Linked DNA regions of Bombyx mori. The protein of the gene in region 1 interacts with the protein of each later gene in a pairwise test. Links are inferred from orthologs where the notes say so. Each region holds a gene or a part of one and is shown on either strand. Other genes may lie near its edges.

Region 1 (4,489 bases):
GACCAGTGCTTGAGTTACCAAAAAGCGCCGTTAGTGGATCGGGAGGATCCGAAATGACGTGAGTAAACTAACTGGGAATCCATCCAAACATTCAATACTTATATCAAAATCGGTCCAACAGTACATTGCAAATTGTTCCGCACAATGCAGCGTTTGCGGAAATGCGGAATTGCATCTTAACATTATTTTTTACTAATGAATCGTAGTCACGCTCCGGGTTTAATAAATATGAAATGTATCCAATTGTATGAAAATATAAATTACTACCGCACTGTGTGATATTCTGATGTCTATACTATTAAACTGTGAAGTTTGATCAAAACCTAATAGTTTTTCTTTGAAAGAGTAAAAATCTCCATCTATTCTCACAAATTTTCGGATTTTACAATTTGAAAAATAATCAAGTACTAGATATTGTTGTCATATAATTAAACATGTAAGGCTTTATTTAAATAGCATGAATTGCCTAATAAAGTTTCAAGATATGAAGCGATTCAAGTTATAATTGGTAATAAAAGAGCATACTCGGCAAGGAGGTTCCCAATCCTGATGGCTATGATTATCAAGTGAGGGCTGTGGATGTCTTTCCTCTATTAAAGGACACGTTTAAGCACGTGGTAGACAAATTGTGACCCGCAGTTTTTAAATATGGATATGTTAATGCGACGTGCTATCATGGTACATATAATAGTATTCTCGGCTGTTTTCCCTTTCATTACACGCACCACCAGCAGTCACACCTTCCGCTTTGAAGGCTACAGCATTCATCATATAAATTAATTGATATTTCAAGCTCATGTACTACTGTATTACCCTTGTATTACTGGAGGTGGGATCTCTTGCGAGTCCGCACGGGAGTTACTACCGCCCTGCCTATTTCTGCCGTGAAGCAGTAATGCGTTTCGGTTTGAAGGGTGGGGAAGCCGTTGTAACTATACTAACCTTAGAACTTGTATCTCAAGGTGGGTGGCGGCATTTACGTTGTAGATGTCTATGGGCTCCGCTTCGGCCGTGAGGTTTCTCAGCCACTTACATAATAAAATTAAATTGAAAAGACATTTAGAGTGCGTTTGTACGTACGTTTGTATAAAACTTAATTTGAAATAAAAGCTACATACCTAAACTGAAAATATAAATTTGCATCTTTAAATAAATATTAAATAGGCAAAGACGAAACAGCTCAGCACCTTTTTATTCTCTATATAAAGTATATTTAGCTTTAGTCAACCATCAATTTAAAAAAAAAAGAAATATAATAAGTTTTAAAGAAAACACTAACAGAACAAAAAATGTAATGTCATAAATAGAATGAATCTAAATCTTGAGGAGTCACTGACTAATTTGGTTATGGTCGAATATCGAACTCACACACGAACATATAAATATAACATAATATGTAGATATATGTATTTACTACTTAGCTTCATAAAACATTTCGTGATTGTCACAACGAAACGTGGCTAGCTTTCAAAACTACTTCACTTATAAAGTTGAGTGCAAAACAAATTTTAGTTTACCTTAATAACACAGGTAAGATATTCGTCATTATTTAAGGATTAACTCTCTACAAATACTTTAGATTGTATATAAATATAATTAGTATTTCTCCAGTACAGCCGCTGAAAGAATGCGTTCGTAATCGAACCGATGTAACTTTAAAGTGGGTTTGTTTTTACGATTGTAATTTTACTATTGTTGATTTGCCCTATTAAACTCGTCATTTAAAAATTCATCTTTATTAAAAAAATACGTTAAGTTGATCATTATTTCAGCCGCCGGATTTTAAGTCAGCATTTTGCCTATGTAGAAATATAATTTAAATAGGAGCTCGAGCATTCCACATGTAAAAAACGACCCCTCGCTGACATCAAGCTAGCATCTCGTCTTAACTCTCAAGCCGTACACTACGCGGTACTAGAGTACGGACTCCTGTGTTCAATAGAACCGCTCAGGTCCGAGAAGTTGGGGCCTCGCCGCAAGGCGAGTGTTTTCAAGACCCGGGGCCGCCCCACCTGGGTACTCAGCGATCATGGACGCTGTATTCGCGGAATTCCTCCGACTTCGCCACCCACAGCTCGCCTCGGAGTTTTTGGCCTTCAAGGCCAATCACACTGCGAGCCCTCTCGAGGACTCCGCCGCGCTCGCTGCTCCTGCGTCGCCTGTACCTGCGTGCAGAGCTTCTGCATTGAGCACCGCAGCCTCTGTCGTGCCTGCCGCTCCCGTGTCGCCTATACTGGCGAGAAAAGCTGCTGCGTCGTCCGCCGTGACCATCGTTTCAGCTGAGCGATCATCCGCGGCCTCCGTCGCGCCCTCTAAAACACCTACACTTGCTCGTAGGTCGCCTGCACCCGCCTCCTCGTGCTCCGACTCTGACTCGGACATGGAGGTCGACCTCGCCCCCGCCTCATCGACGGATGGATTCACCCTGGTACAGAAGGGTAAGAAGCGTGCCGCGGAGTCTCGAGCTCCCGCGGCCGCTAAAATTAGCAAAGCCGTGAACGCGTCGCGCCCCCGCCCTCAGACTCCCGTTGCGCCCCCAGCCCGTGCCACTCCGTCGCCGCGTCCGGTGGCACAAAATAAAACCCAGACCCCTCCCCCGGTTATCCTTCAGGAGAAGGCAGCTTGGGATCGAGTTTGCCTGGCCCTTAAGGCCAAAAATATAAATTTCACGAATGCCCGTAACCTCGCGAACGGCATTCAAATTAAGGTTCAAACACCCGACGACCATAGGGCCCTCTCTTCTTACCTCCGTAAGGAGCGTATAAGTTTCCATACGTATACGCTCCAGGAGGAGCGCGAACTCCGCGTTGTAATACGCGGAATCCCTAAAGAGTTAGATGTAGAGCTCGTAAAAGCCGACCTGTTAGAACAAGGCCTACCAGTGAATTCTGTGCACCGTATGCACACCGGTCGCGGTAGGGAGCCATATAATATGGTTCTAGTCGCTCTCCAGCCTACCCCCGAGGGTAAGAAAATCTTTAACACACAGACCGTCTGTAGGCTCTCTGGTATCGCTGTCGAAGCCCCCCATAAAAAAGGCACTCCTAGCCAGTGCCATAACTGTCAATTGTACGGGCACTCTTCCCGTAACTGTCACGCGCGCCCCCGATGTGTTAAGTGTTTGGGCGATCACGCCACGGCCCTCTGCGCTCGCGACCAAAAAACCGCGACGGAACCGCCTAGCTGCGTCCTGTGTCGAACACAGGGTCACCCCGCGAATTACCGTGGTTGCCCCCGAGCCCCTAAAATAAATCGCCGCGTCGCCCGCCAAAACCGCCTCCGAGCTTCCGGCCCAGACATCAAAGCCTCGGCACCCTCTGCGTCGCAGGCTAAGCCAGCGTTCGTTCCGGCGGCGGTGCCCAGTGTCTCGGCCTGGGCAAAACCGCTGCCGTACACGAACACGGCTACAACTCCCTCCTCCGCGATTCGTCCCGCCCCCGCGACTCGTCCCTCTCCCGCGACTTGCCCTCCGACCGCGTCCGACAATCTCGCTTTAGCGATCGACTTCTTTCAGTCGATCAACTTTGAGCGCGTTAACGCTTTGGGCGACGCCATTCGCGCTGCCTCCACTGCACAACACTTTATCGCCGTTGTGCAGGAATACGCCGACGTATACGCGTCATTAAATACGTACGTCCTCCCCTCACTCCGCCGGTAATCAATGGCGTATATAAGTAGAATAAAGCCCCTATCCGTAACGATAGGATTTTTTAACGCTTACGGTCTCGCAAATCAACGTGATCAGGTTTCTGACTTTTTGCGTGACCACCAAATTGATATCTTTTTAGTGCAGGAGACCCTACTTAAGCCCGCGCGCCATGACCCTAAAATCGCGAACTATAACATGGTCAGGAACGACAGGCTCTCTGCCCGTGGTGGTGGTACCGTCATTTACTATAGAAGAGCCCTGCATTGCGTCCCGCTCGATCCTCCCGCGCTCGCTAATATCGAAGCATCAGTGTGCCGAATCTCACTGACGGGACACGCGCCGATCGTTATCGCGTCCGTTTATCTTCCACCGGATAAGATCGTTCTAAGCAGTGATATCGAGGCGCTGCTCGGTATGGGGAGCTCTGTCATTCTGGCGGGCGACTTAAATTGTAAACACATCAGGTGGAACTCACACACCACAACCCCGAATGGCAGGCGGCTTGACGCGTTAGTCGATGATCTCGCCTTCGATATCGTCGCGCCGCTAACCCCGACTCACTACCCGCTAAATATCGCGCATCGCCCGGATATACTCGACAAAGCGTTATTAAAAAACGTAACTCTGCGCTTACACTCGATCGAAGTAGTTTCAGAGTTAGATTCAGACCACCGTCCCGTCGTTATGAAGCTCGGTCGCGCTCCCGATTCCGTTCCCGTCACGAGGACTGTGGTGGATTGGCACACGCTGGGCATCAGCCTGGCTGAATCTGATCCACCATCGCTTCCGTTTAGTCCGGACTCTATCCCGTCTCCTCAGGATACCGCTGAAGCCATAGAC
Region 2 (3,824 bases), on another chromosome or scaffold:
AATGTATAATGTTTAAAAGTATGTAACATATTTGTGTTCCAGTTCCCACTGTACGGGGGATCTCCGCTCGGGGACAATGACCACGTGAGGATTGTCTCTGATTATATATTTATGAGCGTACCCCCTACGACACGCGTATTGTCCTAGAGAAATTCCCACTCATTGTATTAGTTCCAAATAGTGGCCGTAGGGCGCCCGGCCCGGCGCGACACAAGAGACACTATACTTACCTATAAACTCATGAGCCAATAGAAACTCTGCTGTGGCTCTGTCTTCAGGGTTCTTGATGAGGCACTGACTAACGAAGTCTATGAACTCTGACGACCACTGGTCCGGCTCCCTGCAACCAAACGTTCAGAATGAAGCCAGCTCGTGTGGAGCTAGTGGAGTGGCAGGCTCGGCGCGGACTGCGTACCTGAAGGAAGGCGGCGGCTTGGTGGGTATCATGAAGATGGCCCTCATGGGATGTATGTCTCCGTAGGGCGGCTTGCCCTCCGCCATCTCCAGAGCGGTGATGCCCAGGGACCAGATGTCGGCCACGCAGTCGTACCCGATCTCCTGAATGACCTCGGGCGCCATCCAAAACGGGGTGCCGATAACCGTGTTGCGCTTCGCCATCGTGTCCTGAGAATGGGGAAGTCGTGTACATGTCCATCATATTGTACTAAGGGTTGCATTACATCGTGCCTACGACGATTATACGTTCGAGGGTCAGTAAGAGTCCAAAGTTCAAAGGTTTGGACGAAGTCGTCGTGGCCTAAAGAGTAAGACGTCCGGTGCATTCGTGTTGAGCGATGCACCGGTGTTCGAATCCCAGGCGGGTACTAATTTTTCTAATGAAATACGTACTCAACAAACGTTCACGATTGACTTCCACGGTGAAGGAATAGGAACGTGTAATAAAAATCAAACCCGCAAAATTATAATTTGCATAATTACTGGTGACTTCTTGTGAGTCCGCGCAGGTGGGTACCACCATTTGAAGGGTGGGCCAGCCGTTATAACTATACTTGAGACCTTAGAACCTTATATCTCAAGATGGATGGCGCATTTACGTTGTAGATGTCTATGGGCTCCAGTAACCACTTAACACTAGATGGGTTGTGAGCTCGTGCACCCATCTAAGCAATAAAAAAAAGAACTCACGGTCAGCTGCCCGGCGACCCCGAAGTCCGCCAGTTTGGCGTGTCCCTCGGTGTTCAAGAGGATGTTCCCGGCCTTGATGTCCCGGTGGATCTTCCTCCGCCGGTGCAGATACTCCAGGCCCTTGAGCGTGTCGCAGAGGATGGTCGCTATCTCGTCTTCCGACAGAGTCTTCTTGCGCAGCCGCATTATGTCCGACACCGAGCCCGCCCCGCAGTACTCCATCACGATCTGTAAGTTACAAAAGACACCATGTCAATATAATAATGTATCCGAATTTTCATTGCCAGGACGAAAAGGGGATTGCCCACTCTCCATAGTGTGCTAGGCCCAAGATGGACATCAAATATTACTTTAAAAATGTACTGATTCAAATTCTTAAATGTATTGGATATCTAAAAAATATATTGAAATTGAGGCCACTATTATAAAAAATATAATAAAAATAAAAACTCGTTTTGAGGTTAATTTTCTATATAAATAAGTGTCGGATTGTGAGATACTTCAAGAACTTTTCTTTTCTTAATGTTTAAGATGTTCCTAATGTATTTTTACCCAATAGGGTATAAAAACACACTTAATTCTTTAAATATCTATATTTTCTTCATCTTCATACACAATTAGTATCATCTAAAAATAGCAAAGGAGAGCATATACACGGTTTTAAATCTCGGTCAGGGTAAAACCACAATTCACACAATGTTTTTTAGTCGTAGTATGAAACGTTATTGATAAAAGTAAAATAAATCGAAGAAAAATCAAAACACATCCATTTTGTACGCAAGCACAACACCACACACAAGCAGCAAGCGAAGTATCAGTCAGTCAGATTAAATTCAGTGTTGTCAGTATAAAGAAAAATAATTACATGAAATTCATATATCGATTATTTTTTTAAATAACCGATAATTGATTTATATCTTAATCTTTATTTTACGAGTACACATTATTTTTTATGTTTTTGTTTTAGTTGTACATATTTAAATAACAATACTAGTAAAGTTTTTTTTATTGCTTAGATGGGTGGGTGAGCTCACAGCCACCCTGGTGTTGCTAAGTGGTTACTCGAGCCCACATACATCTACAACATAAATGCGCCACCCACCTTGAGATATAAGTTCTAAGGTCTCAAGTATAGTTACAAGTTAAAGTCCAATGGGTATGTCTTCGATGTTATTTTATGTGCATAAAATCCATTAAAATCGTTTGATTAATGATAATACTTAAAATGATTTATTTATATGTTTTATTTATATACTCAAAATATTTACTTCATACGTAAAAGGTTTTGAAGCTGGCAATATTTTTCCCGCAAAAATAAAAATCCTTGTTTTTTCAATAGAGTTACTTTTTTTAAACTACTTATTGTAAACTGTAGTGGCGCTTATTTGCAAGAAAGTAAATGCATATTTATTTATGACAAAATTAATGCACTAAGTATTTTTTCTATAATCTATTGTCCGCTTTGGGCCTAAAATGGGCCATCCCCTTTTTGATTAAGAATGCATTTGTTATTTACGGAATTAGGAGTAACTCAGGTTCGCAGCAACGGTCGAGAGCATTGAGGTTTTATTTGCCAAAATATTGGGTTGAAATTTGCGCTAACTATTTATTTCTCACACAGAAACAACACTAAGCACATACACTTAATCGGATATGAAACCTAGATCACTTCCACCCACTACTGTAGTAGTAGTCACAATACCTGATTAGTTCGCGTCAGACAACTCGCCGGTAGCCGAGACCACCTAATGGAACAAGGGCATAGAAGAAGACAAAGACCCCATTTCTTACCCACAGATCGGTATTTTTGAAGTAGCTCCCGTAATACTTGACGACGTAAGGACTGTCGCACTGCTGCATTATTGATATCTCCTTTATGATCTCCTGCAGGTCTGTATCCACAGGTACCTGCTTTATAGCAAGCACTTGTCCGCTTTCTTTGTGTAACGCCTGCAATTTAAAAACGTAGAGTAAGGCACACTGCACTAAGTAAGCGCGGTGCAAAAATTATTTAAATTGCATCATTATTCAGTAAATCTATTGTCGGGCTGTCTGATTGGAGTGCTTGGGACGCATTGCCAAAAAATATGGTCATAGCCAAAAAAAACAAATCACCATCGTTAACACTGTTTTCTTTTTCCTATCTATGCTGATAGCCTTGAGAGGCTATTTCAGCGTAACCTTAACTAGTAGGAGAGCTCACGGGGCTCAAACCGAAGTGATGCTAACACTGATTCTAGCAAGAGCAGTGTTTGGCAGAATCTACAACCGGATCGGAAACGCGACCCACTGAGAAGATCCGGCGAAAAACTCAGTGGGCTGTGTCTATGAGTTAATTCGCTCGTCGAGCCCTTCGTCGCAATCGACGGGTTTGACGAGGACGGTGACGGTAACATTGGTGACATCGGCTCGTTCTTAAATACTAAACTATGCACAACATAGAACACATGTGAAGTTCGCAGATTGTCTAAGCGGGATGAGTCCACGTGGGTTACGAGTACTTTATTACCGATAATTTATAATCGGCGTAGGTAGCGGCTTCGCTTGCCCCTTGATTGCTAATGTCCCTGAGAGTCGGTGACCGCCTCACTGCGCAGTGGACCGTAAGTTCGTATTGCCTACGACGTAAACTTCGTATTAGCCTTGGACCTCTTCAGAATTTTTCATTTTCCGTGCGT

What was found.
Region 2: the proteins of protein expanded (region 1) and HPO interact in a two-hybrid assay, tested with the Drosophila melanogaster proteins (2 studies listed by BioGRID). The link is inferred for Bombyx mori from reciprocal best matches to the Drosophila melanogaster genes ex and hpo.

What each region holds. Positions count from the first base shown.
Region 1 is NC_085118.1:7,034,437-7,038,925, forward strand, and holds the start of protein expanded, read left to right. Parts: upstream 1-1,396; 5' UTR 1,397-1,530; intron 1,531-4,489. UniProt on the Drosophila melanogaster protein: Activates the Hippo/SWH (Sav/Wts/Hpo) signaling pathway, a signaling pathway that plays a pivotal role in organ size control and tumor suppression by restricting proliferation and promoting apoptosis.
Region 2 is NC_085111.1:717,214-721,037, reverse strand, and holds part of HPO (serine-threonine kinase-like protein), read right to left. Parts: intron 3,097-3,824; coding exon 2,938-3,096; intron 1,375-2,937; coding exon 1,147-1,374; intron 625-1,146; coding exon 416-624; intron 341-415; coding exon 231-340; intron 1-230. UniProt on the Drosophila melanogaster protein: Plays a key role in the Hippo/SWH (Sav/Wts/Hpo) signaling pathway, a signaling pathway that plays a pivotal role in organ size control and tumor suppression by restricting proliferation and promoting apoptosis.